6 linked regions of the Canis lupus familiaris genome follow. The protein of the gene in region 5 interacts with the protein of the main gene of each other region in a pairwise test. Links are inferred from orthologs where the notes say so. Each region holds a gene or a part of one and is shown on either strand. Other genes may lie near its edges. The genes, in order: TFF3, HNF1B, HNF1A, FXR2, PCBD1 and NTAQ1.

What was found.
Region 1: the proteins of PCBD1 (region 5) and TFF3 interact in binary tests that used the Homo sapiens proteins (3 or more experiments, as listed by UniProt). The two-hybrid records come from large-scale screens. The link is inferred for Canis lupus familiaris from reciprocal best matches to the Homo sapiens genes PCBD1 and TFF3.
Region 2: the proteins of PCBD1 (region 5) and HNF1B interact in binary tests that used the Homo sapiens proteins (3 or more experiments, as listed by UniProt). The link is inferred for Canis lupus familiaris from reciprocal best matches to the Homo sapiens genes PCBD1 and HNF1B.
Region 3: the proteins of PCBD1 (region 5) and HNF1A interact in binary tests that used the Homo sapiens proteins (3 or more experiments, as listed by UniProt). The link is inferred for Canis lupus familiaris from reciprocal best matches to the Homo sapiens genes PCBD1 and HNF1A.
Region 4: the proteins of PCBD1 (region 5) and FXR2 interact in binary tests that used the Homo sapiens proteins (3 or more experiments, as listed by UniProt). The link is inferred for Canis lupus familiaris from reciprocal best matches to the Homo sapiens genes PCBD1 and FXR2.
Region 6: the proteins of PCBD1 (region 5) and NTAQ1 interact in binary tests that used the Homo sapiens proteins (3 or more experiments, as listed by UniProt). The two-hybrid records come from large-scale screens. The link is inferred for Canis lupus familiaris from reciprocal best matches to the Homo sapiens genes PCBD1 and NTAQ1.

Annotation. Positions count from the first base shown.
Region 1 is NC_049252.1:36,522,902-36,527,685, forward strand, and holds TFF3 (trefoil factor 3 precursor), read right to left. Parts: upstream 3,453-4,784; 5' UTR 3,411-3,452; coding exon 3,329-3,410; intron 1,970-3,328; coding exon 1,823-1,969; intron 569-1,822; coding exon 555-568; 3' UTR 521-554; downstream 1-520. UniProt on the Homo sapiens protein: Involved in the maintenance and repair of the intestinal mucosa. Promotes the mobility of epithelial cells in healing processes (motogen).
Region 2 is NC_049230.1:37,448,177-37,452,516, reverse strand, and holds part of HNF1B (hepatocyte nuclear factor 1-beta), read left to right. Parts: intron 1-3,459; coding exon 3,460-3,724; intron 3,725-4,340. UniProt on the Homo sapiens protein: Transcription factor that binds to the inverted palindrome 5'-GTTAATNATTAAC-3'. Binds to the FPC element in the cAMP regulatory unit of the PLAU gene. Transcriptional activity is increased by coactivator PCBD1.
Region 3 is NC_049247.1:17,156,488-17,160,827, reverse strand, and holds part of HNF1A (hepatocyte nuclear factor 1-alpha), read right to left. Parts: intron 3,526-4,340; coding exon 3,326-3,525; intron 1-3,325. UniProt on the Homo sapiens protein: Transcriptional activator that regulates the tissue specific expression of multiple genes, especially in pancreatic islet cells and in liver. Binds to the inverted palindrome 5'-GTTAATNATTAAC-3'.
Region 4 is NC_049226.1:32,726,319-32,731,320, forward strand, and holds the start of FXR2 (fragile X mental retardation syndrome-related protein 2), read right to left. Parts: upstream 3,398-5,002; 5' UTR 1,788-3,397; coding exon 1,653-1,787; intron 1,339-1,652; coding exon 1,286-1,338; intron 931-1,285; coding exon 837-930; intron 439-836; coding exon 367-438; intron 278-366; coding exon 129-277; intron 1-128. UniProt on the Homo sapiens protein: mRNA-binding protein that acts as a regulator of mRNAs translation and/or stability, and which is required for adult hippocampal neurogenesis. Specifically binds to AU-rich elements (AREs) in the 3'-UTR of target mRNAs.
Region 5 is NC_049225.1:22,451,392-22,456,457, reverse strand, and holds the start of PCBD1 (pterin-4-alpha-carbinolamine dehydratase), read left to right. Parts: upstream 1-1,802; 5' UTR 1,803-1,914; coding exon 1,915-1,926; intron 1,927-3,737; coding exon 3,738-3,869; intron 3,870-4,312; coding exon 4,313-4,393; intron 4,394-4,932; coding exon 4,933-5,031; 3' UTR 5,032-5,066. UniProt on the Homo sapiens protein: Involved in tetrahydrobiopterin biosynthesis. Seems to both prevent the formation of 7-pterins and accelerate the formation of quinonoid-BH2. Coactivator for HNF1A-dependent transcription.
Region 6 is NC_049234.1:22,159,394-22,163,733, reverse strand, and holds part of NTAQ1 (protein N-terminal glutamine amidohydrolase), read right to left. Parts: intron 1,252-4,340; coding exon 1,152-1,251; intron 45-1,151; coding exon 1-44. UniProt on the Homo sapiens protein: Mediates the side-chain deamidation of N-terminal glutamine residues to glutamate, an important step in N-end rule pathway of protein degradation.

The sequences.
Region 1 (4,784 bases), on a different chromosome or scaffold from region 5:
GGCTTTATTGGTTTGCTCTCTCCGCGAAGGAAGACATTAATCCTCTTTTTTTTTTTTTTTTTTTTTTTTGGAAACTTACATTTGAAATGTCTTTTCGGAATTCGCAGGGGGCGGCTGGCCTACTGAAGAGGCTGCTCGGCCTCCCTGCCTCCCTCCGCAGGGCTTGGTCTGAGGCCTCTGACAGCCTCACACAAACGATGCAGCTATTTAGGGATCACCTCGCAGTTCCGAGGCCCCCCCAGGAGGGAGGCCCTGGGCTGGAGGTGCTCCTACCCCCTCCAGCCACCCCCAGGTGGCAGAGGCTGAGAAAGGAGGTGAGGCTGAGAAAGGAGAGCCGCTTGGGAGAAATAAAACACAAGAGCATCGAGTCTCAGGAAGGAGGAACTGCCCTCGTGCTGAGTACGGGGATCTTTATTCATTCAGACATCAGGCCCCAGAGCTAGCTTTGGCCAGGAGCAGGGTGAGAGAGAAGCAGGGATGAGCCAGGGGACAAGGCGGGCGTCCCGGAGTGGGGGAGGTTGCTTCCCAGGGTGTCCGGGGCCGAGGGCGTTGCTTCAAAATCTGCATTCTGGAAACAAAGCACAGGCTTGCATCCCCACGACCTGCCTCGGCTCCACCCACCGGGTGCCTGGCTTCTCAAGGTCAAGACAGGCTCCAAGGTCAGGGCCTGGGGCTGCATTCACCCCAAGTCCCTGGGAAAGTGTTTTGAGTGTCCAACCTTCCGAAGAAGAGCCCACCGGAACCTAGGGGTTCGGGCAGGTGATAGGAGAGATGGGCCTCAGCAGGGCGGCTGCCAGCCCCCGAAGGAGAAGGGGTAGGACCCTCAGCCCCCACCCCACATGGAGGGGCCCCAAGGAATGAGGAGAGCCAGCAAAGAGGCAATGGACAACCCCTTCCTGGTCCCAAAACCTTATGTGGGCCTCTGCCTGGATTTGCCAGGAAGGGGCAGGTGGCCCCGGGCACTGGGCCAGGGGGCAGGCATCATCGATGGGGATTGCGGGGGCGGCTCGCACCGGCTACAAGGAGGCCCCACTCCCTTATCACCCTGGGACAAAGGGGGCGGGTACTGACTCCAGGAAGGGACCTACTTCCAAATAGGGGCCTGTGTCCTTAGAAGGCATTTGGACAGCCAGGTGGCTTATAGCAGGCCTCACGCCTGAGATGTTGGGGTGGGGGGTGCTGATGGAGCCAGGGCGGCACCCACCCGCATGCGCCGACACCTGCTCCTGGCGGACAGGGGTGTCCCGCCCCCGCTGCACCACTGAGGCACTGGGGTCTGGGATCAAGTCCCGCATCAGGCTCCTTGCGGGGAGCCTGTATGCCTCTGACTCTCTCTCGCTGTCTCTCTCATGAATAAATTAAATCTTTAAAATAAAAAAGAACAGGGCGCCTGTGCCCCTCGGTGGAGGCGGGGCGGGGGGAGACGGCGGGGTGTGGACGGGCACCCGGCTCCGTGCCCGCTGCTGCACCGTCGGCCCTGCCAGGACCACGTCACAAGGGCAGGGGTGTGTTTGCTGAACGCGGCTGCAGGCATTGGCCCGGCCTCCCAGGCCTGGGCATTTTCCATTTCCCTCCAAGACAGTCTTTAAACTAGTTCTCTCGACGTTGTGCCTTGACTGAACATCTTTTCGGAACAGCTGCTATTAGATTGGGCACAAACCTCAGCAGAGGGACATCTGGGACCGCCACGGGCCGCCGACTGCCCTGGGCACGACTCCTCTGACCGAGGCCTCCACCGCCGGACAAGCCGCGGCGCTGGGTGTCCCGCCCGGGCGTGCGTGGCTTCCTGGGGACCTGGGGGCTCCCCCCTGGGGCCGCTTACCTGTGTCCTGCAACGGCTTGAAGCACCAGGGCACCCCGTGGATGCTGGAGTCGAAGCAGCAGCCCCGATTGACGCACTGCTCGGAGGTGATCTCAGGGTAGCCGCAGTCCACCCTGTCCTTGGGCGGCACCTCGCACAGGTTCGTCGCTGTCCCAAACGACACCCGGTCAGCACCCGGAGCCCTTGCCAGCCTGGGTCGGTCTGCTGACTTCATCCTGCGAGTGCGCAGCCTCCCCCAGCATCTGGGGTGGAGGCGCAGGACCCCAGCCCCACCCCGGCATCTGCTTGAGGACGACCCTCGCCCGTGGATGGTTTCACACGCTCGGGGGGAGCTCTGGCCTCTGCCAGGGCGCCCCTCGCACTCGTGCGCCCCCAGGGCCCCGTCGGGGAGCCCACGGGGCCGCTGTTCCCTCCAGCTGGCAGGAACCCCTGGAAATCTGGGGGCCCCTGAACCCAGAAACAGAGTTCCCCTTCACTGTTTGAGCAACAAAAAACTGCCCCCCTTAAAAAATAAATAGTATAATAGATGATACACCCTCAAAACAGAAGACCACAATGCGAGCTATTTTTTGCCCCTTTTCTGTGTCCCCCTGTCCCCCATTTACTCGGTTTGTCACACCTTCCCGGCACCTCCTTCCATCCTCAACTCTTGTGTCTCAAGCAAGCCTATGTTGGCTCCAGTTCTGCAACGTTTGCCTCGTTGCCTGACGGGATTTTTCTTAGGAAAACAGAACCCGCAGGAGATCCCCGAAATCCTCTCCTATCTCTGCTACCCGGAAAATTCTCATTCCCGCAGCTCCGAACGTCGCTCCCACTGGGACCCCTGAGACGGTGTGGCGTGGTGGGGGCATCCCGGGCTACAGCAGGTGCACAGCTCCCCAGGTGACCCGGGGGGGCACCCCAGCTGGGAACCACTGCCTCTGGCATCTGATAAGAGCCGCACCCTAATTTCCTCAAACTTGGGTCGATGGGATAGTCACGCCCCCACCCCCACCTGCAGGCACAGTGCCAGCGCTGAGTGAAAACTGCCTGCGTGTACCGAAAATGTTCTGGAAGAAACTGCTCCCACCGGACTTTCTGTTCCATAAACGTGCCAGCACAGCGCATAAAGACCTCTATGGTAATTCAGAAATCTGCGGCCGAGAGGGCGATGGGGCAATAGGGTTGGCAGCGGCTGCCAGCAGGCCGGGCAGACCTGGGTTCTAACCCGGTTCCAGCCCTGCCCGGGAGGGCTGCCCACGACCAGTCACTCGCTTTCTGAGCCTCAGTTTGCTTGTCTGTGAAACGGAAACAGCAAGATCCAGTTTGTGGTGCTACTGAGAGGGACCGTGTGCGTCCGGTGATTGGCAGTTACTAACGGACGAGGGGGCTTGGTCACCTTGCCCCGAGCCCCCATGAGGCCCCCCGAGCCTGGGGCCTGTGTCCCTGCCCCTGCTCCTCTGTCCCCACTCTGCCACCAGCCCCCTCCTTCCCACGGAGTGGAGAGGAAGTCCGAGCAGTACTCACCCAGGCCCTGGTAAGCCACTGCCAAGCTGGAGGACCCCAGGACCAGGACCACCACCAGCAGCCAGAGCACTCTGGCCTCCATGGTCACGGGTGGGCTCTGGGGACCCGACCGCTCAGAGATCGTGCCGCGTCGGCCCAGAAGACGCATTTATACCCTTGTGTTTGCCCAGGTCCTCTGGCTTCTGTTTGTCTGGGGACGGCCCTTCCCTCTGGCTCTGGCCGCACCTACTTCTCCCGGCGCAGGGCCCTACAGCCCCCAGCGGCTCGTCTTCCTGAAGGCGAGAGGCAGTCGGACCCCAGGGCGGTAGCAAGCAGCGGGGGGGCCAGACTCCAGTCTCTGGGTTCCACTCCTCTCCGGGGAGCAGGGCTGTGGGTCCAGGCTCGGCCGGCCTCGGGGAGAGGATGAAGTCTCATTTCAGGGCCGGACAGTGGCCAGCAGCCCAGGCAGGAGCAGTCCAGGAGGCTCCCTCCTCAGTGAGCACAGCGCCCGGAGTCCCAGACCGGCCTTGGGGACCTGAAAAGACGGGGCCCGCCGGCGAGTCAGGCACACCGTGCACCCGGATCTCGTTTCCTCCTCGAAATTCTTAAAAATCCCGTCCTTTCTGTTTTTATTGTTGACAGCAAGATTTATTTTTATCATTAAGTACACTTTCATAAACGTCTTCGGTAAACTTACACAATATTTTAATGAAATTCAATTTAATAAATTGTAATATTTTGAAAACAAGAGGATGCATACAGTGGGTTTTGAAAAAATCAGACAATACCAAATAAAGCCCTCCCCTGTCTAGAGATACCTGTGTTTAACACTTCTTTCTTTCTTTCTTTTTTAAGATTTTATTTATTTATTCATCAGAGACACACACAGAGAGGCAGAGACACAGGCAGAGGGAGAAGCAGGCTCCCTGCGGGGAGCCCGATGCGGGACTCGATCCCAGGACCCCAGGATCACAACTTGAGCCGAAGGCAGATGCTCAACCGCTGAGCTACCCATGCGGCCCTGTTTAACATTTTCTTAGGTATTTTTCCAGAAAAGTTTTCTCCAGATCCAAGCACGTTTTCTTTTTCTCTTTTTCTTTATCTTTTCCAAGCACATTTTTAACCCAAATGAGAACTTATGAGACACATTTGCTCATCCGCCTTTTTTTTTTTTTTAAATGAAGGGCATATCCTGGAAATTATTTTACCACAACCTATCAAAACGAGATGGGAATAATTATGCTCATGGTCCAGAGAAATGAACTGAGGCTCACAATATAAGGTGCCCGTTGGGGCTTCCTCTCATGGACCAGGCGGAGCTAGGATCTGGAAGCAGGTGCACCTGGCTGGTCACCTCAGCGCCCAGGTGGGGGTGCAGGGTTGGAGGGGGACCTGGAGCACCCCAGAGTTTGTCCACAGAGCTGTCCTCCACGCGGTGACTGAGGGGCCTGGCTGTGCTCGCCTTGGCAATGGGGGT
Region 2 (4,340 bases), on a different chromosome or scaffold from region 5:
CCACATTCTTAAGAATTTGTGTTTCTGACATGAAGCAACTCTCTGTAATTCCTGGAAGGTCTGAGAACATTCTCAGAAGCCACAGTCTCCAAAAGCCAGAGAACATGGGCCTGCTCTCACTCCAATCCAAGCCTCGTGTGGCATCTCCAGTTTGAACTGCTTCCCTGTGTTCAGTGGAAATTCTCTCAGAAAGGAGAGGAATACAGGAAAGGCCAGCTAGAAGCCATAGAAAAAGATACACGTCCCAGAAAGTTTCTCAAGATGCTTGAGAAGAGATAGTTTACAAAAATATATGACAGTCCCTGCAAGAGATTTTTAAAATTACCATTATTATCATTTTAAAGCCATACAAGACATAAACCTTAAGAAATATTCCTTCATTCTGTAAATATTATTTGAACACCTATTAGGTGCCAAACACTATTCTGGGCTGTGAGATGCACAGGCTTTTTCTACAAGTACTTACCACCTAATGGGGGAGATGACATGTTTGAGTAAATAATGACAGCTGCTTTCTAAGAGCTGTTATAAAGATGTACACAAGAGGCAGCAGAGGAATTGCTAAATGGCCTGAAGAGATCACAGAGGGCTTCTTAGAGGAGGGAACGTTGGAACCAATTCTTGAAGGATGAATACAAGACACTCAAGCATGGGATAAAAATTAGCAAGTGAGATGGAATGTGTAGGAGAAAGGGGGGAGAATTTTAAAAGAGGACATAAATTTTCTCGAAAAACTAAAAATGGTAATATCAGTGATAATATTTGTGGGCCCATCTATACATAGAGAATCTGCTTGTCCAAGCTGGCTCCCGAGCCTATAAAGAGGTTGCTGAAACCAGCTTCTCCAAGTTAATTTTTGTAGGCAGCAAATGTTTTCTGTCTCCCTGCTTCCCTCTGTTAATCTAGAAGGTGAGGAGAGGTGGTGGTGGCTGGAGGATGAGACGAATTCTAGTTCTTTAAAACTTGAGGGGCTAGGACCCTGAGGTGGGCAGAACCTGGATATTTCCAGGCACCTACAGTCAAGTCATCCTGGCCTATCCTGGTATATGCTGGGTCCTGAACATCATGCAGGCTGCCTCGTCGGAGGGCGGCCAGCAGACAGAGGCAGCCTTACACTCCAGGCAGCCATGAGTGAGCCTCACACCCACCACAGACAGAACCTGAGTCAGTTTTTTGTTTGTTTGTTTGTTTGTTTGTTTTTAGTCAGTTTTATTACCTTCACCCAAGTCAGACTTTTAAGGTTTTGTGGATGTATTGTTTGGCTTTGGTTTTTAGCAAGAAGTGATGCATAGGCTGCTGATAAGTAGCCCCAGTGTCTGTAGGCTGGGCCCATGTCTGGCCTGTGCCCCACATCCATGTGACTTTGGGCAAGTCACATAACCAGTGTGAACCTCAATCAGCTATAAGATGGAGAAGACAATACTTCTTGCATGGAGAGGGTGTGAGAATTAGATGGAAGGATATGGTCAGGGGACCTTGTATGATACCTCCCCTCGGTATAGGTTCATTGTCATTACAGAGCCTCATGTGGGTCCTGGGTCCTTGGGATTATCCATAAAGCTTTGGCTCTTACTCAGGGTGATGCCACAGGGAGGAGGGAAGACCCTGAGACAGACCTCCTCTGAGCAGGGAGCTTCTTTCTCTCCCTCTTACTGTCCCTAAGATAACTGTAGGAGCTGGTGGCCATGGAGACCAAATGACATAAGACGTGTGAAAGCACTTTGAAAAACATGGCCTCCCTAGGAATTTGGGTCCCCATCATCATCCTGACTAAAAGTAGATGTTCTGAAAGACTACTGAATGAGTACTAGGTTTTCATCCGGTCCCATCCCACAGGCAGGGAAGCTGCAAGAGGGAGCAGTTAGGTGACACGGCTGGGGTCCTCCATTAGTCAACTGAAGCAGTGGCTTCCTGCCAATAGATCTAGAAGAGACTGTCTCAGGATATCTAAAAGAGTTGTTGGGAATCAGTGAACACAGAGCCGTAAGTGGCCTGAGAATCATCCAAATCGAAGGCCCCAGTGACATAGTCCATCCGTCAAGGAGACTGCTTAGAATTTGGCCCATCAGCAACCAGTTCACACAAAGCCCAGCACCGCCTGTAACTGAGTCCTCAGTCCAGGCTGGTTAGAGGCCCACTGTTTGAGGATGGACCAAAGTGGAAATGGATCTTAAGATTGGTAGTAAGTTCCCCATCACTGGAGGTCCCTGTGGTAGGGTGTCATAGAGGGGATTCCAGCATTAAATAGTGGCCCAACTATGAACCTTGGAGAATTTTGGATCAAGTTGCCTCTGAGACCTGTAGGAGTAACTCCAAGAACCAAGAAAGAAAAACATCAAGGTCCAGAAGATAGGAACCAGGAGTTAGGAAATGAAGTTGCTATGTGTCCTTGCTCAGCAAGGTGGTTGGCCTCTATGCTTATTCATCTGTAAAATGGAACTAATGACTCTAAACCCTGCTTTGTGTAGATACAAGGAAGACAATAACAAAGTTCTCTTATCCCACAAGTAAATATCAGATCTCATTTAAACCATATGAGCTAGGGTATCCCCACAGGGTGAACTGCCACCTTTCTTCCATTCGTTCAACAAAAAATATATTGAGGGTCACTATATACCTGGATCCTGGGAATTGGAAGGACAGGGAGCAGCACTTCATCTACATTTACTTTTGTCCAACTCATGAAATGCCATTGCTAGAAAGGTCCTGTGTTTGCAGTCTTCTGCATTTGCCATCTTTCAGAAGTGTAGGCAAATCTGTTAAGACCTTTCCCTCACCAGCTGTTCCCCTCATAAATGAACCCCCTGGATACACATACACACACACACACACACACACACACACACACACACACACACCATTGCCTTTGAAGTTATCTGAAACCAGAGAGCTTCTTTTCTTTCTATTATAAAACTTCACTTATATTTATTTCAAAGTAATAGTGAACAGGTTTTGGGTCTTGGGTGTTTCTAAGAACATAACATCATAATGTAGATACCTAGGATACATGAGGAGAGAGGGGAAGTGGGGAGAGCCTATTTTAGTCTCTAAATATTTTGTCTAAGTGAAAATTTACCTTTGAGCCTTTACCTCTAGACCCAAGACATGGTTGAGCTCATCCTCTTGGACACCAAAATGCAAGAGTTCAGGATTCCAGAGGGTTGCTTCATGTCTGAGGGCCAGTGAGCCAACGAAAACACGTTGCCACTAAAACAATGGTTGGCCACATTTGAGCTCCTTCAAACAGAGAAAAGGGTTGGCTTTGGTGGAGCAAACTGAGGTGGGCAGTGAGGGGACCTGTGGTGGGCTTTCCCCCTCTGTACTCGCACACACATACAACAACTGCCGATGGCAAAACTTAGGGGAGGGGAATAGCGGTGTTTTTGTCTGTCTGTCTGTCTGTCTGTCTGCCAAGTGAAGGCTACAGACCCTATCAAATCTACTCCTTTCTCTTTTCAGAATTCAACCAGACAGTCCAGAGTTCTGGAAATATGACAGACAAAAGCAGTCAGGATCAGCTGCTGTTTCTCTTTCCAGAGTTCAGTCAACAGAGCCAGGGGCCTGGGCAGTCCGATGACGCCTGCTCTGAGCCCGCCAACAAGAAGATGCGTCGCAACCGGTTCAAATGGGGGCCCGCATCCCAGCAAATCTTGTACCAGGCCTACGACCGGCAAAAGAACCCCAGCAAGGAAGAGAGGGAGGCCTTAGTGGAGGAGTGCAACAGGTAACACCACCAGAAGCTCACTTGAGCAGGTGGGCAAGCACATGGACCTGAAATCCATCCCTTCAATCCAGGGATACTGACGTACTGGTTATCCAGCTAAGTGTGGCTACAGCAGGGTTTCCCAAAGTGTGTTCTATGGCACCCTGACATCAAGTTATTTTTTTTTTAAAGATTTTATTTATTTATTCATGAGAGACATACACAGAGAGAGAGGCAGAGACACAGGCAGAGGGAGAAACAGGCTTCATGCAGGGAGCCCGACACGGAACTCGATCCCGGGTGTCCAGGATCAGGCCCTGGGCTGAAGGCGGCGCTAAACCGCTGAGCCACCTGGGCTGCCCCTGACTTCAAATTATTAACAAATAAGTTTGAGAAATACCAGGTGCATGCTTCCTCTTGGAGAGTCATGACGTATATTAGCATATTAAAGACTCTGAGGAGACCTAGAGTCTAGAAACTTTCTTAGCTTTATTGATTGTTAGGCATGGAATCTTTTTTTCTGGGGGGATACTTATACTATGAACTGTTATTGAAGGCAAGATACTTTGGAGAAGCCTGATTTAAAATATGATGCCAGTGGAAATAGCATCATATGTTTGACTTCCGTGTAGACCAG
Region 3 (4,340 bases), on a different chromosome or scaffold from region 5:
ATGAAGTTTGGGTTTGTTTTTTTTTTAAGATTTTATTCATTTATTTATCTTAGAGAAGGAGAGAGGGCGCACAAGCAGGGGGAGAGGCAGAGGGAATCTCAAGCAGACTTTGCACCAAGCATGATGCCTGACACAGGGCTCCATATCAGGACCCTGAGATCAGGACCTGAGCTGCAAGCAGGAGTTGGACACTTAAACAACTGAGTCGCTCAGGCTCCCCAATTAACTTAATGTTTTAATCAGCCCCTTGATAATACTAATATCATAGTTTGGGGAAGGGCAGATGGAGAGACAGAGAGAGAATGTTATTAAGCAGGTTCCACGCCCAGCGCAGAGCCTAACTCAGGGCTCAATCTCATGACCTGGAGATCATTACCTGAACCAAAATCAAGAGTTGGCTGCTTAACCAACTGAGCCAACCAGGTGCCCCTACCAATATCATAGTTTTAAAAAATAAATTATATAAACGATCATCACAGCTTTTAAAAGTTGCTTTTTGCATTCAGTAGAAAATGGTAAGTAGCAGATGCTCAACAGATATAAAATGAGGGGGAGCACCTGGCTGCCTCAGTCAGTGGAGCTTGTGATTCTTGATCTCAGGATTGTGAGTTGGAGCCCCTCATTGGGTATGGAGAGGACTTAAAAATTAAATCTTTAAAAATTAGGGACACATACAAAAAATTAGGGACACATGCTCACTTCAGCTGCACATATACTAAAAAGGGTGGGGGGCACCTGGGTGGCTCAGTGGTTGAGCATCTGCCTTTGGCTCAGATGGTGATCCAGGGGTCCTGGGATCGAGTCCTGCATCGGGCTCCCCACAGGGAGCCTGCTTCTCCCTCTGCCTGTGTCTCTGCCTCTGTGTGCGTGTGTGTGTGTGTGTGTGTGTGTGTGATGAATAAATAAATAAAATCTTTTTTAAAAATCTTTTAAAAATAATAAATAGGGGCCCCTAGGTGGCATAGTCAGTTAAGTGACTAACTTTGGTTTCAGCTCAGGTCATGATCTCAGGATCCTAAGATCCAGCTCCTCATCAGCTCTGCGCTCAGTGTGGAATCTGCTTCAGACTCTCTCCCTCTCCCTCTACCCCTCTCACTTGTACTCTGTCTCTCAAATAAATAAATAAATCTTTAAAAAATATATTTAGGAGCGCCTGGGTGGTTCAGTCAGTTAAGTGTCTGCCTTTGGCTCAGGTCATGATCCCAGGGTCCTAGGATTGAGCCCCAAGTCAGGCTCCTTACTCAATGGGTATCCTGCTTCTCCCTCTCCCTCTGCCTGCACTCCCTCTGCTCGTGCTCTCTCTCTGTCAAATAAATAAATTATTTTAAAATTAATTAATTAGGGCAGTCTGGGTGGCTCAGCGGTTTAGCACTGCCTTCACCCCAGGGCGTGATCCTGGATACCCGGGCTCCCTGCATGGAGCCTGCTTCTCCCTCTGTGTCTCTGCCTCTCTCTGTCTCTATGAATAAATAAATAAAGTCTTTAAAAATATATTTTAAAAAATTAAAAATTAAAATTAAAATTAATTAATTAATAATAAATATTTTTTTGTTTTTTTTAATAATAAATATTAAATGAGGTGTAGCTTGCTCTTTCTCTCAAGCTCACCTACTCTCATATCTCAATAGTATACTTTTCACTTTATTTTTAAAAAAAGATTTTATTTATTTATTCATGAGAGACACACACACAGAGAAAAGCAGAGACATAGGCAGAGGGAGAAGCAGGCTCCATGCAGGGAGCCCAACGTGGGACTCGATCCCAGTTCTCCAGGATCACACCCTGAGCTAAAGGCAGCACTAAATCGCTGAGCCACCGGGACTACCCACTTTTCACTTTAATAAACTTTCCAAATTGAAAAAAAAAAGACCCAGAAAACTTTCCAGCTTATAAAATAAATAATAAGTAAATAAATGAATATTAATGAGTGTGCAAACCAATATGTGAATTTGAGAACTTTAATATTTTAATAAATGTTTAGGAAGCATGGGGAGAAAAGCTTATTTTTTTAATTACTGAACATGCAAATTGTGACCATGTCTTCATAAAGGACTACAGGAATATCTAGCAAAGATTTTAAAGTACCTACTCTCTGACCCAGAATTCCACATCTAGGAACTACTCTACAGACACTGTCTCGTGAGAACACAAATATATACAAAGAAGGATGTTCCCTGAAGCAGTTGGTTATAACAGCACATTGGAAAAACCCTAAAAGTACTTTGGTAGGGAGCCAGTTAAACAAATATGGTACCTCCAAATAGCGGAATAGCTAGCAGCCCTTCAAAGAGCAGAGAAAAAAATATATATTATTTATTGCTAGTATATGCATAAAATATCTCTGGAAGGATACATAAGACTGGGAATGTCCTTTAGGAGGACACCTGATTTTTATTGTAAACTCTATTTTCTCCTATTTTTTGAAACTAAGTTTGTTACCTTTTTTTTTAAGATTTTATTTATTTATTCATGAGAGACACAGAGAAGTAGAGCAAAGAGACAGGCAGAGGGAGAAGCAGCCTTCCTGTGGGGAGCCTGATGTGGGACTCGATCCCAGGACCCCAGGATCATGACCTGAGCCAAAAGCAGATGCTCAACCACTGAGCTACCCAAGTGCCCCTGTGTTACCTTTTTAAAAAATAACTTGGATAATTAAAAATAAATTTAAAAACATTTTTTTTTTACACATAGGCTCAAAAATGTGAAAGTGCACTTGGGATTTTGTGGGGTGTGAAGTCTCAGTAAGAAAACCCTCCCTTGCCGCTGAGCCTCTACTTGGGCCACTCCTTCTGCCCAAAACGCCCTTCCCTGCATCTCCATAGGCCAAAACTCCACTCAGACTTTAAGACTTAGTCTGAAAGCTCTCCTTCTGTGTGGTCCCTCCTGATGCCCCTGCCTCCCTGTGGAAGAACAGATTACTCTCTGGTCCTCTGCTGGCTCGGTATTTTGAAATACTTTATGTAGTACTACTGTGCACTGGGCCTGGCACGTGGTGAATGTTTCACAAACACCAGCTGTTACTGTTGTTTCTGTCATATTATAATACTTGTCTCGCTGTATCATAATGATCTATTCGGCTTCCCCTCTACGCAGAGTTCCCAGAAGGCAGAGATCTAATTCATGCACCTCCAAATACCTAGGACCAACCTACTCCCCTCCCCAGAGTGCCTTGCACAGAATAGGTAAGAAGTGCCCGTTGAATCCCTGACTTCCCCCCCAAGCACCCAGTCCTGGTAATGTGGTGGAGAAGCTCTCAGTCCCCACCCCTGAGCTGCAGAGAGTCCAGGGCCCTGCCAGGGAGGACGGGGCTGTGGTCATTACTTACGCTGGGCCACCTCTCGCTGCTTGCGGACGTACCAGGTGTACAGGGCAGCTCGCTTCTGTGTCTTCATGGGGGTGCCCTTGTTGAGATGCTGGGACAAGTGTGACTGGTTGAGGCCAGTGGTGTCGACTACCTCCCGCTGTGGGATGTTATGCTGCTGCAGGTAGGATTTGACCATCTTGGCCACGCGCCACGGGTCCTCCCTAAGAGGACAAAGACAGAGCCTACTCAGCAAGGGGGGTGCGGGAGTGGTGCCGGCACGGCTGGGGGGCCCGTGAGCCCTGGGAGTGGGGGTTGTCCTCACCTTTGTACCTCCTTTAAGGATCCTCCCCTCACCCTACCTGGAAGTGTTATTTGTGACTATGTCTTATCCACTGGGAGAGCCTGTAAACATTGTGGGGGCAGGAACGGTTCTCAGCACCCAAAATGGATTTGACATAATGTATGTCCATGGTGAATGCATGAATGAATGAGTGGATGGGTGGATGGGTAGGTAGATGGGATGGTGGATGGGTGGATGGGTGGATAGATGAATGGATAGATGGATTAATAGACAGTAGATGGATGGATGGAAGGGGTAGATGGATATGGGGATGGGGTATGGCTGTATGAATGGATGGGTGAGGGAGATCTATTGGGGAAAAAATGGGTCTGAAAACAAGGAGAGAAACATGATTCTCTAACTAATGCTGAGTGCTTGTATCTTTTGCCCAAGGTCACAAAGCCAGCCCAACAGTCCCATTCCACCTGAAGGGATTCCATTTTAAGTCAATCTATGGGGTAAAAATCACCTAGAGTCAAGACACCTCCTGAAAATCTGCACTAAACCCCAGGCTGTGGCCTGGCCAGTTTCCCTACAGCACAGGGGCAGCCAGGTCCAGGTGATGGAGTTACGGGGCTGGTCTTCAGAGGCTTCATACAAAAAAACATGTGTGTTTGAGCACCCGAATCTCATTCTGTGGGCTGAGAGCCTCTCACTGGAGAAACTCAAGGGATCTGCAGCCATCTACGATCACAC
Region 4 (5,002 bases), on a different chromosome or scaffold from region 5:
CTCCCCACCCCATAAATAAATAAATAAATCTTTAAAAACAAATAAACAAAAATAAGAGGGGCCTGGGAGAAAGGTGGGCCAACAGGAGGACTGTCAACGGAGCCCCCATCCCGATGTCCCTGACTCACGCCTCTCTCAGATCCTCAGGCACAGCCATGGTAACCTTGAAGAAGCTGCCTTTGGTTGCAAGGGGATTGGGATTAACTGGCCGGAGCCGTTCCAGGGTGACAATCTCATTGTAAGTGGCATCACAGGCAGCGTATTCGATGACGTAGAACTGGCAGAAAGGAAGAAACAAGTGTGGATGACCTGAGCGTCTGTCCCCCCCCTTTTCTGTGACTATGGTCCGTGCTTCCCATCACTCACATCTCCCTTCATCATCCGCACCCGGGCCAGCCACCAGCCGCAAGGTTCCTGCTCATTGGCTCGAGAATAAACCTGGAGCCGAAAATAAAGAGATACTGAGGCCCAGCTAAAAACATCACGAACGAAAAAAAATTAAAAAATGAAAACATCATGAACGCAACTTTCAGACCCTGGGAAGCACATTATACCACAACAAAGGAGACACGAGGAAGGAGCTAATTAAAAGCCCAGAGGGTGCTGTCACCATAACGGGAAAGTAACTCCCCTGAAACTGGGAAGCTCCCTGAGTTTGATCACAACAGGGAAAGGGAGCTGGTGCACTTCTCTCTTCCACAGCCTACTGGGCTGGGTTTCAGAGGGAGGAGAGTGAACCAACCAGAGGAGAGCCTGGGATACTGGTCTCAGGGCAAGGGAGACCACAGAATCCTGGAAAAAGTGACATTTAGAAGGGGTGGAGCCCTGGCTCTTACCTCCACCTCGTCCCCCTCCGTGATCTCTTTATTATAGTCAGCTGGAGGTGGGAGCCGGACATCCCCAAAAGGAATCTGTCTCTCGCTCTGCCAGCTGCAAGGGAAACCGTGACATGAAAGCTATTTGGGATCATGTTGCTATTTCTTCAGGAAGGGGTTACTGCCTCTGCTGGGCAGTTCCCACCTTCTCTGGTGATTAGAGGCTAAATTCTAAGCCCTGCTCCACTGTATCTTCTGTCTCCTGCTAGAATCCAAATACTAGGTCAACCGTTTCCCCCCCCACACACACACATTTCAGCCCATTCCTCTCCTGGGGTCTATATAAGTTGACCACCCACACCCCTGGCTCTCCCCCACCTATTACATGCCTCATAGGACTCAGCCGCCCCCTCTTCTCCACTCTCCTTCTAGGACCTAGTATGCTGGATTCTCTATTCCCAAGGTCTTACTTGTTTTCAAAGAAGATGGTGACAGAGTCTTCATGGACATCCTTCACAAAGCCCTAGAATGGATTTTAGAACAAAGTGAAAAGAAAAGAAAAGAAAAGAAAAGAAAGAAAAGAAAAGAAAAGAAAAGAAAAGAAAAGAAAAGAAAAGAAAAGAAAAGAAAAGAAAAGAAAAGAAAAGGAAGGGAAGGGAAGGGAAGGGAAGGGAAAAAAGAAAGAGAGAAAGAAAGAAAGAAAGAAAGAAAGAAAGAAAGAAAGAAAGAAAGAAAGAAAGAAAACGACAATTTACTACCATCAAGGGAAAAGAGACGGTTACCTAGAGTTTTAGATAGAGACACAAGAAATTTAAAGATAGGACCAGAAAAACTTACCTGTACTGGGGACTGGGGCAAGAATATGAAGTTGAGGCAGGGACAAAAGAAATGACACTGACATGGAAAGACAACTGGCAAAATCCACAAATAAGATGAGACAAATGACACAGAAGGGGAAAACATCACCTGCATAAGAACAGCCTGGAGACTGATGGGTCTACTATAATTCCCACAGGGGCCTCCCTATCTATCTGCCTCCTGTTGTGCTGAGCAACTTGCCAGAGTTCAATTAAAATACCAACAATACTCAGCAAGGCTAAGAATATCCCATGAGACAGTGTGAGGCTGTCCTGGAACACCTAGAGGACATCAGGATCTGCCAAGAGAGAAAAGGGTATAGCTCCCCAACGCAGCAAGAGACCTGAGCAAACTCGGTGCCTTCGTGCCTGGGTCCTAAGTGAATTCTTGGAACACTGTTGAAGTTCAAAAGGATGAACACAATTTATAGAAGGAGAAATCAGGACTTAGGATATGTGAGATTTCTGAATGCTAGACTATGACACGCTGCTACGAATCTGAAAAGGGTAAGACCCCCACACCCCAAATTGAGACCATGACTTGGGAGAGGAACAGGGATGACTGAATAGCTGGTCCACTTCCTACTATCTCAACAAAGACAGGCAAGCTCTATGTTCAATCCTATGCTCCCAATTTTTCTACCTTCTCTAATTTTCACATATTCAAAATTAGGGATTGTTGTTTTTGAAAGTCCAATTTATCAATTTGCTCTTTTCTAACTGAGCTTTTGGTTTCCTGAGAAAATTTTGCTCAATCCAACACCCAAAGCTTTCACCTATTTCTTCTACAAGTTTTGTAGGTTTTTTTTTCTTTTTTTCTAAAAAAGATTTATTTATTCATGAGAGAGAGAGAGGCAGAAACACAGGCAGAGGGAGAAGCAGGCTCCATGCAAAGAGCCCGATGCGGGACTTGAACCGGGGAATCTGGGATCATCCCCGGAGCCAAAGAAAGGCAGGCGCTCAACCGCTGAGCCACTCAGGCGTCCTAAGTTTTGTAGTTTTTATTTTACATTTAGATCTATGATCTGCTCTGAGTTAAACTTTGTACATGGTGCAAGATATGCAGAGTTCATTTTTTACCCGTGGACAGTCCGGTTGAGCACTATTTGTTGAAAAGACTACCCTTTCTCGACTGAATTGCCTTTTTGCTTTTGTCAAAAATCAGGGAAGTGCAAATTAACATATTACCAACAGACAGAAAGCAGATTGGTGGTTGAAAGAACTGGGAGTGATGGAAATATCTTGATTGTGGTAATGGTTTGACACGTATCTATATAGATATGTAGACTGGTATCTAAGTCAAAACCTCTCAGTTTATACTTCGAACATATGCACTTCAATATTTATTCCTCAATAAAACTGTTAACAAAGAACTAGGGGTTGGCGCGCCTGGGTGGCTCAATGGGTTGAGTGTCTGTCCCTTGATTTTGGCTCAGGTCATGGTCTTGGGGTGGTAGGCTCGAGCCGGGCTTTAGGCACCACACTTAACGGGGAGTCTGCAGTAAGTCTGTTTGAAATTCTCTCTGCCCTTCCCTGCCTCAAATAAATAAATCTTTTTAAAAAAATTTAGGGATTTCAAAAAGTCTAACACACAAGAACCATTCCTGAACTCTGCAGCTATGCGTAACAGCTGAGCTTAGGAGAGAAAACACCGAAAATGCACACTTCTATCATTACCACCTCAATGAACTGGTTGAACGTAAACATTTACTATACTGCTGTTTCCTTACGGTGGGAAAACCAAAACTCAGATTTCATTCTTTGATACCAGCTGGCCATCCTTCTCTTCTTTTGGGATCAGATCTTGTTGCGGCGCCTCACTATGCAGAGCTTTACTACTGCCCAAGGCATCTGGTCCTCCTGGTGCCTGCCCTTCTGCTCAGCTGTGCTTTCGTTTTCTCTGCCATTCCCCATGTTTTCTCCACTCTTTGTACAGCTCCACCTATACCCAAGCTTGCTATTCCACACACGAGTCTTCTGAGGCATTTTCACTCCTCACTGTTTGCCTGAGTCCTTCTTCCCCCTTGGGTTCTCAGCTCCTTGAGCATCCTCCACCCTCCCCTCCTAACAGCATCACTTTCCTTTTCTTTTCTCCCTCTGTGAGGGTCTGTGTGGATTTCTAGAAACATTTTACCTAGCTCCTTCTGTCTTTATCCAATTCTTTTTTTTTCTTTATCCAATTCTTTATCCAAAATGTCTGTCCCTAAACTTGAAAAATAGTTTAAGAGAGGATTAGCTCTTCTCAAAACATTTTAGGGATGAGATAAAAAGCATGGAGGAGATAGAAGAGAATCACTTGTCTGCCTCCTTTAAGAAGAGATTCCCGCTCCTAGATATACTTCTTCGCAAAGGATATTCCCATGGTTCTAATCCCATTCTCCCCCAACATGTTAGGGTTAGCCCTCAGGGAGAGGTAGCACTACCACCCTGTTTTTCCTAGCTACCACTATCTGTCCCCAAGGCAGAAATAGCTCAGAATGGAGTTTCCCCTCACATTACTCAGCAGTTCAACCAAACACCACACAATCTTAAACTTCTAGGGTCTTTTTCCTTCAAATACTCACCAGAACAAGTTTTCTTCCCAAACTCATGTTAACTTCACCCACATCATCCATTTTTTTCCTCCAAAGATACCAGTGGTAGAAAGTGAGAGATAAGCAGGTGAGAGCAGGAGCAGGTGAATCAATCTCTAGAAAGCCAACTAGATCCAAAGAATGACTCAATTCAGTGGCTGCAGCATATCCCGGCTTTGGCTTAAAGGGCTTAGGACCAGAAAGAGGAAGAGTACCCAAGCGTTCTAGATACTTGTTTCCTTAAATAAGATAGAAAATTATTCCCCACCTCTACCCTATCTTCTAGTCCTGGACTCTCAAAAGAAAGGAGGGGGTTCTGGGAGAAAAACAGGAGGGGTCTGGATAAAAACCACAGCTTGAAGCTGGGGATGCTGTATTCCTTAAGACAGGAAGAGGAATGTGGACATCCAGGCAAGGTCTGGAACGTTGGCTGATTGTGCCCTGAAAGGTGAACAGATATTTCATGAGGAGAGTACAACCTAGAGACTAAAACACTTTTAGGTACCGGAGAAAATGAAGAGTTGGTGGGATAGCTACAGGATAACTTATATTCCAGATCTGACATGTGCAGTGCTATCGTGGAAGATGATCAAAAACAGGACCCAATTCTGAGACAGGAGAAAGGGGCCTCCCCAAATTTATAGTTCTAGAAGCAATGTAAACATTCCTTGACCCACACCAAAGTTTGCTGAGTCATGAATATTAAATCAGCAGCAAGGTCAGAATGGATAAGTATCTATATGGCACTGAAAGTTGA
Region 5 (5,066 bases):
AAAAAAAAGTTATACATACTCGGGGCAGCCTGGGTGGCTCAGCAGTTTAGCGCAGCCTTTGGCCCAGGGCCTGCCTGATCCTGGAGTCCTGGGATCGAGTCGGCGTCGGACTCCCTGCATGGAGCCTGCTTCTCCCTCTGCCTGTGTCTCTGCCTCTCTCTCTCTCTCTTTGTCTCTCATGAATAAATAAAATCTTTAAAAAAAAAACAAGTTAAACATACGCTCTGCCCCATGACCTAGCCATTCCACTCCTAGACATTTACCCAAGAAAAAGGAAAGCATCTAAATGGACTTGGACGGGAAGGTGCACAGCAGCTTTATGTGTAATAGTGAAAAACTGCAAACCACCCAAAATGTCCATCAACAAGTGAACAGATCAACAAATTGTGGTATATCGATACAACGTAACACTACAGAATAAATCTTACTTAGCCCTAGAAAGGAAGAAACTATTGATACATGCAACCACAGGGGCGAACCTCAAAGTAATTATGTTGAGTCCTAAGAAGCCAGACACAAGAGCATACATTGCACGGTTTGCATTTACATAAAATCCTAGGAAATGCAACCTAACGCATGGTGACCGGAAGGAGAGGAAGGGTCGCCAGGGAGGGAAGGGAACGTGCAGGGACGCGGGACGCGGGGTGTGTAAGAGCTTGCACGAGAGCTCACAACTGCCAAAGGCATCAAACTGTGCACTTTAGTTAGGTCACCACGTGAACCTGGTGCTTTTAAAAAATAAAGAGGTAATGTCGCGTCCGGGGGGACACGGCCCCGTGAGCGGCAGAGCGCAGATCAGACGCAGAAGTCCGCGCCCCGGGGCCGCCCCCCGGCCCCCGAGCTCCCGGGAAACGGAGCCCGGAAGAAAGTGCTGGAAGGGGCAGAGGCCGAGGTAGCGATTGCCCGCCCTCCCCGCGGCCCGGCCCCGCCCCCTCGCGGCCCCGCCCCCCTCGGCCCGGCCCCGCCCCCTCGGCCCGGCCCCGCCCCGCCCTCCCCGCGGCCCTGCCGCCCGCCGCCACCTGCCGCTCGGCCGCGTCCGCACCTGCGCCCGGTCCGCACCTGCGCCGCGCCCGCCATGGTGAGGGGTCGGGGCGCGCGGGGTCCGGGGGAGGAAGGGCGGACCGCGGGCCGGATCGCGGGGCCGGATCGCGGGGCCGGACCGCGGGGCCGGACCGCGGGGGCCCGTCCCTGCGAGCCCCTCGCCCGCCCCCGGGCTCCGGGAGCCGTTTCCCCGCCCCGCTGCCACCCGCGCCCCCGGCGGTGGCCCAGCGCGAGCTGAGCCCGGGAGAGCGGCGGTGGCGAGAGCGGCGGTGGCGCGGCCGGGTGACAGCGAGCCACAGCCCGGCCCGGCCCTGCTCCCGCCCGTGTCCCGGGGCGCCCCGCTGCTGCACGCGGGGCGTGGTTTTGGGTGGGGGTGGAGAGGCAGCTGGTGAGCCCGCAGACACACACCCCCACCCCCCCAACCGCCGAGGCCGGTTCTCTTGCACGGTGAGGGGAGGGCGCGTCTGTGTGTCTGAGTGTGAGTAGCGGGGTGGTCGGTTCTATGCTCCTCTGCCTTCCGGGCCCGCCCTCCGTGCACCCGGGCCTCAGAGCCTGCCCCCGTGCCTCGCTTGAGGCCAGGGGGGCCTGATTGCACGGGGTCAGCGCTCCTGCAGGCGGGGTGTCCCCCAGGAGGGCCCTGGCCCTCTGCTCGGGCCCTACTTCAACACCCTTACCCTCGGGGAGGTGAAGGGGAGCCCTGGCAGGGGAGGAGAGGAGCCTCTAGACCCAGGACGGCTCTTCTAAACAGCCTGTCTCTGGTCCCGAAGCCTCAGGAGCAGTCAGGACTGCGGTGACAGCTGAGAAGGCACTTGGAAAGCTGTGGCTTGGAGGGACGGCCAGAGGCCAGTTGTGTGGTGCACAGAGGCCCCAAAGATGCAGGGCAGGGTGGGTAATCAGTAACCCGAGCGAGTGCACACTCCCCCAGATGGCCTGGGCCAGGCCTGACCTGTGATTTACTAAGCAAACACTGCCCCTTCCCCCACTTGGATTCCAGCTCTCAGAGGGGCTGGGCATGTCCGCCCCAGGCTGTGAAACTTGGGGGATCCTGGAGGACTCTCAAGGGCAAGGGGTACCTCCTAGGAGCTCACCGGTACCCACCTACTTCTTTCTGGGCCAGAGAACTAATAAGCAGTGGGTTCTGATGCCTGGGCTGACATCATTCATCAGGTTGCCTGGATACACTGACCAGGCTTATCAGCCACTGAGAAAGGGCCAGCTCTGGAATGGAGCAGGGGTTGGGCACAGGATGCAGATCTCACAGAGCCAAGCTCAAGCCAGATCAGTCAGGAGAAAACAAGTGTTTTCAGGAGGGAGGGAAAGATTGACTTAGAGGAGGCTGCAATGCTTTCCAGTTGGACCCCAGGCCTGCAAGGCCTATCAAGCCAGCCGGCCCCAGGGAGTCTCCTTTAACGGATGCAGATGGCACCCCCTTAGTAACAGGGGAATTTACTGAAGTGTCCCACTGGCTCCTCTTGCTGATCTGAAAGTGGAAGTTCTGGGTCCCTTCTGGCTCTGGAGCCCAGGGAGGTGAGTGCCCCAGGGCCACCTCACTGGAGAATGGCAGATCTGGGGCCTGAACCAGTCCTGCCAACTCCCCCCAGGGCTGCTTGTGAAGCTAAATTAACCTCCCTCCCATCCTCCACCCCACTTAGTGGCTCGCTTTCCCTCAGCCCTCTGGAGTTTCTGTTTCAGCAGTTTCAGTGCTGGGATCCCTGATGCAGTGCCTAGGTCTGGATCCACCCCCCCAGGAACAGAACCGGCTTTTGCCTCCTTCTGTGCCTGAGGGTTCCACTCTTGGCCCATACCCTGCAGGTCTGGGCTGCCTCGAGGGCACTTTGCACACACAGTAGGTCAACAGGCTGAGGCACTAGGTTTGCCAGTCGCCCTCGGCCAGGTTAACTTCCACTTTGGGTCTGAGCTCTGGCTCAGGCTCCCCAGGCTGACGGAGTAGAAGAGAAGGTGGGGATCTGGAACCCCTAGGCCTGGCAGCTAGTACTGAGGCTGCATGGGGGCATGATGAACACCCACTGGGAGGTAGTTCCAGGGAGTGTCAGAGGTGGTGTGGCCAAGAATCAGCTGGAAGGTGTGGTCAGTGCTGGCTCCTTTCCCTGGGGGGCCTGGGATGCAGACTCAGACCCGCTTTGAGAATGATGCCTGTGCTCACGGGCTGAGGGGGATGTGCGTGTGTGTTTGTGTGGGGGAACCGTGCTCTTTTTCCCTTTCCAGGCCTAGATTCCTTGAGTAGAAGGGTGGCCATGGGGGTGAACTGGATACAGTCCACAGCAGGAAAAGGAGGCTTAGACCGTCGTGGGTACTCTTTCTGAAAAGTTGGGTAGTAACACATTTGCATCTGGGCTTGGTTTTGCTTTTACTCTCATTATCGTAAGAAACCTATGGGGCGGGGCTCTGTCGGGCTTTGGGAGCAGGGGTTGGGGGGTTGCTGAGCCCCAGTGACTTACATCACACCTCAGGATTTTCTGACCTCTGAGCAAAGTGTCAAAACCTAAGAACCTATCAGTATGTGAGCCAGGGCCCCACCTCCAGGGCCGGGTGCCACCGTCAACAACTCCCTGTGGTTGCTTTAGGCTGTGCCCCCCCAGAGCACCCGCGGAGGTTGCCTGAATGCCCCTCGTGACCAGGGCCCTCCCCTGGGTCCTGTAGAAAGAAGGCCCGTGGGCCTCTGTTGCCTCTCCTAGGCTGGCAAAGCGCACAGGCTAAGTGCTGAGGAGAGGGACCAGCTGCTGCCAAACCTGAGGGCTGTGGGGTGGAACGAGGTGGAGGGCCGAGACGCCATCTTCAAGCAGTTCCATTTCAAAGACTTCAATCGGGTATGTCAGCGGATGGGACAGTGTCTGAGACTGGGGCGGATGGGGTTCTCTCCCTCAAAGCCCTGCTACCCAAACTACCCTAGTCAGGTTGACTTCGAGTGTCACCCCTGGGGAGTGGGAAGCTGGGATCTGGGTTCTCCATATACCTGGAACTCTTAGAAACGATCCTCAGAGGAGATGGGTCAAGTAGGATACAGAGGTACATTTTAGCAGATAACCAAAATCTGGCCAAGACTCAACACCTCTGCGGTGTTTCCACCGTAAGGCAGGGTCCTAGAACAAGACGTTCCTCCTACTGAAGGGCCACCTTGAGCTGCAGTGCAGAACCAGCCATGGGTTGCTAGGGGGTGACTGAAGCTGGCCAGTCCGGCTCCCGCACCTAGGCCCTGCACCACCGGCCTCCCTCTCAGAGTGCTAACCTGCGTCTCACTTCACCACCGCAGGCTTTTGGCTTCATGACGAGGGTGGCCCTGCAGGCTGAGAAACTGGACCACCATCCTGAATGGTTTAACGTGTACAACAAGGTGAGCGGTGCGTGCCTGCCGTGGCCGGCCCGGCTGAGTTCTGAGGGCCCTTCCTAGGGCTTCCCTCAGCGCCTCCCAACCAAAGTTTGCCTGTCTGCCCCTCCTGGTCCTTTGGGCTCTTTCCTAGAATCATCAGGAACACCCCTGCCAAACGGTCAGGCTCACTACAAATTAAAGAATTGCACGTGGAAACACTGAGAGGACTCGCGGGCGGGGTAGACAATAAGTAGACGATAAGAAGGCGGAGCCCACAGAAGGCAAGGCTGTGGGGAGGGGCCACGGTCCCTGCTGATAGCTCCCAATGGGTTAGATCCTCCTGGAGGTGCGGGGGAATGAAGAAGTAGGAACCTGAGCTAAGAATGAAAAAGTAGGAACCACGCTCCACAAGCAGACAGGACTGACTGCAGGCGAATGCGCGCGGCCATTCAACAGCCACCACGTGCCAAGACGGGAGGGTTTGCACTGCTGCTAGTGACTCTTGGGAGGAGCCCCCAGGGGAGAGAGGGGTGCCAGGGCCCGTATCTCTGGTTTGATTCCAGGTCCACATCACCCTGAGCACCCACGAGTGTGCCGGCCTTTCGGAACGGGACATAAACCTGGCCAGCTTCATCGAACAAGTAGCGGTGTCCATGACCTAGGCCCCTGCCTTCCTCTCTGAACGCTTCAGGGGAAG
Region 6 (4,340 bases), on a different chromosome or scaffold from region 5:
ACAGGTCCATCTCCAGGTCTTGCCTGTTGTTTCCAGATAGGTATCTACAAAATATAATCAATTTCATAAGCTACAACTTCAGTTAAACCATTACTATCTCCCTTAAAGCAATACATAAATAAAATATAGGGGCGCCTGGGTGGCTCAGACAGTTAAGCATCTGCTTTTGGTTCAGGTAATGATCCCAGGGTCCTGGGATCAAGACCTGAGTCAGGCTCCCTGATCAGTGGAGAATCTGCTTCTCCCTCTTCTTCTGCTCCACCCTGCCCACTCATGTTCTACCATGTTCTCTCTCTCTCAAATAAATAAAATATTTTTAAAAATTCAAAAATAAATAAAATATAAAATATTTCTAAGCAACCAACAATCAATGTGAATGAAGAAATCTAAATCCTTCCAAGCATTCTTAACAATGAAAATGCAAGAATTCATTATCTGATATTCTTTGGAGAGTAGAAAGAGACCTCAACAGGGAATCAGAAGACCTGGCAGATTCTCAAGTCTTAGTTTCCCAGATTGTTATGGGAGCTCCCTGAGTCTCTATCTCCTCCTTTATAAAACAGAAACAGCCATCTGAACCCTGCCTACTTTATCATGGTTCCATTAGCATGACATGATGCTTACAAAAGTGCTTTACGGGCTCCAGGATGGATCATTTGGTAGCGTGTGTGACTCTTGATCTCGGGGTTGTGAGTTCAAGCCCCACATTGGGTGTAGGGATTACTTAAAAATCTAAATCTTTAAAAAAAAATTTAAAAGGTGCTTTACAAAATATTAAGGGCTTTTTTTTAAGGGTTTGCTTTTTTAATAATTCATGTAAGTTTATCATAATTTTATTTAAACTCCAGAGACAAAAACATCTTTACTTCAAACCTGAGAGTACATGGCTGTAGTCTAAGGAATTTAAAAAGCTTTAACTTGTGTAAATACACCATCATCTATTTCTTGACCTACAAATAAGGGACTTAACTTTTCTAACTCAACTGTGCCCTGAAATGAGGGGAAAAAAAAATCTCATTCAAAAATAAACTTTAAAATGTTATTTTATTTTATAAAGCACGTTAGGACAGCACTGACCCCATATATTATATTTAGTTTCTACTATCACCCTAAATCTCTTGTTCTCTTTCTGCAATCAGTCACCAACTTACCATCTTCCTCTCATTAGATATGAAGACAGCGTAACACTCTTCTAAAGGATACTGGTCATGGTTTTTGATGTATTCACAGAGCTTCCAGATATTTTCTTCACTGAAATAAAATAATAGTTTCATCAACATAATTATACAATGACTCTCTGTGTCTTTCAAATTTGAACAGAAGACTGATGAGGATATTAAAAAGTTGGAAGAGATTTTAAACACCACCTCATTCAATAACTAGCTGATGCCTGACCCTCCTCTAAAATATCCCCAACAAAGTGTTACCCAAATTATACTGTGTGCTGAGCTCTCTCCAAACACAGCAGTTGTTACCTGCCCCAGCAGTGTTTGCAAATGGAGGCATTTTATAACTGATAAAATGCTACATCAATACTCCACAGCTTTGGGTCCAGTGACTCGAGACACAGCTGGAATTCCAACTCAGCCACTTAAACAAGGTAAGAAGCTTTGAACATCTTGACCTGAGTATCTACTTTTCTTACCTGTAAAATGAGGATAATCATATTTTAAACACTTGAAAAATCTTAGTTAATATTGGTTCACTGCTCCCCTTAGGAAAGGGGCAAGAATAATGTTTTGGGTAGGAGGGCTTCTGGCTGGAAAGGACTGAGGGCAGTTACATGATATGCCTAGGAATTCTTTTGGAGAGAGACTCTGAGTGGGATTCCCTACATCCCTCTGGTACAACAGAGGTCCTGACTTTTAGAAAGTTTTCTCATACTGAATTAAAATCCACCTTCCTATATTTCAGCCCCAGATAAATGTCTCTATGACAGGCCTTTAGATATTTAAAACAGTAGTCAGAACCACCTAAGCAATGCCAAGTGCATCAAACCAAGCCACACTGGTGGCCACAGGCACACTCCCACACAGGTAAAAACATTCACTGCTGGCAGTATTCACAGCTCAGCCCCTGGATTATTTTTTTTCAATGAGGCACATAGCACCTTCGTTCAAAACAACCTGCATCAACACTCTGCTCATACTCATGATTCAACTGTCAAAGTCTAATTTCCAAACACCTACACTATGCCACTTGAAAATAAAGTAAGGCATACACGGCACTAAGGACTACCACCATTTTATGACACACGTTCAATGCAGTTTTGACCTTGTCTACCTGCACGACTACATTTAAAGCACCGAAATGAAGTGTATTTTTTTCCTATGATTTTTTTCTATAAGATACCTAAGAAATCTTAACAGAAAAAGTAGTGGCAGAGGTAAAAACAGGAAACTGCTACTACTTCCATAGGCTATGTAGTATGGGGTAAGCAAAAAGGTACAGTTTCAACATGACATATGACGTGTATTAGCTACATTTTAAAAAACCTGGATGTTGGGCAGCCCCGGTAGCTCAGTGGTTTAGCGCTGCCTTCAGCCGAGGGCGTGATCCTGGAGACCCGGGATCGAGTCCCACATTGGGCTCCTGCATGGAGCCTGCTTCTCCCTCTCCCTCTGCCTGTGTGTCTCTCTGTGTGTGTCTCTCATAAATAAATTAAAAAAAAAAAAAAAAAAAAACCCTGGATGTTCTAAGACCACATTTTTAGAAGACATGTCTGTCCAGCCTCTAGACATTCTTGAGTTGATCAAAGACATCAAGAACCCATGATATAAAAGCACCATGCTAAGTGGTTGGAGAATGTAATGATAAATTAGAGCTTGCAGACAGTGAGAGAAGACATACAGATCCATAAATAAGCAAGCATCATAGAAGGCCATAAAAGATGCACAGAAGGAAGCGTCATTGATTTTGAGGGGCACAGGAAGATGGAGGGCATATAGGTCAGGGGTTTCTCCTTGTGTTGCCCTTCCCCCAGGCCTAAGGATGGGCACAGGGTTAACACAAAGATTTTAAGAATCTGTGTGTACCCCAAGTACTGTTGGCAGGCTGAATATGTACGTGGCTGGACAAACTTTGTCTATTATCTTTCAAATATGTGTGAATGTTACAAAGAGAAATAAAAATTTAAACTAAGAGTCACTGAATTTGTAGCCCCTTTTTATTATCAATTTTTTTCCCAAGAGTACAATTAATAACATGTAGGAGGATCTCAAGAAACTTGATGTTTAAAAAAAGGGGGCCTGGGGACACCTGGGTGGGTGGCTCATTCGGTTAAGCATCCAACTCTTGATCTCAGCTCAGGCCTTGATCTCAGGGTTATCAGTTCAAGCCCTGCATGGGGCTCACTCTGGGCATGGAGCCTACTTTTAAAAGGTTGAGGGGGGTACTTATACTTGGAAATGCTGGGGTTACTGGTGGAATAGGAAGAAACCCAGATTTGGTATGAATCCTAGCACCTCTTTAAAAAAGGGGGGGGGATCCCTGGGTGGCTTAGCAGTTTGGCACCTACCTTTGGCCCAGGGAGCAATCCTGGAGTCCGGGATTGAGCCCCATGTCGGGCTCCTGGCATGGAGCCTGCTTCTCCCTCTGCCTATGTCTCTGCCTCTCTCTCTCTCTCTATGCCTATCATAAATAAATAAATCTTTAAAAAAGGGGGGGGGGGATTGTGATAATAACGTTCCAACCTACTGGTTGATTACTTTGTTGTAGCAGAAAAACTAACAACGCAGCATTAAGGTCAAGATTCTGCAAGGATTACTGGTGATGGGCTGAGATCAGAGAAGCATGAAGGTAAGGATCCCTGGCACACAGGAGGAGCTCAACCAACATCTGAAGAGTACAAAGAGAATCAGACATGTTCTGCAAACCACCTAGTGCCACACAAATACTGGTTACCACTATTATCACTCAGCTGGGTCTGAACAGATAAATAACATCTGACAGAAGCTAAAAGACACAGAGAGGAGGCACTTATTCCAAGTTATAAAAACCTGCAGGAGCAAACATAATAAGGTACACTATCTGATAGATTAAGACAAGATAGAACAGTGGTTCTTAACTGAGGCAATTTTGCCCCCCAGGGAACATTTGGCACTATCTGGTGACGTTTTTGCTCGTCACAAATTGGGGCAGGGTGCTACAGGCTTCTAGTGAGTGGAGGCCAGGGATGCTGCTACATAGCCTACAATGCACAGAACAGCCCTCCACAACATTAGCACGTTCCACATGTCAATAAAGCCATGGGTGAGAAACCCTGGGTTAGGGCATAGAAGGCAGGCTCAAAATAAGATTGCAGAAACACAAGTGACCAGATCTCTGAATATGCTCAGGAG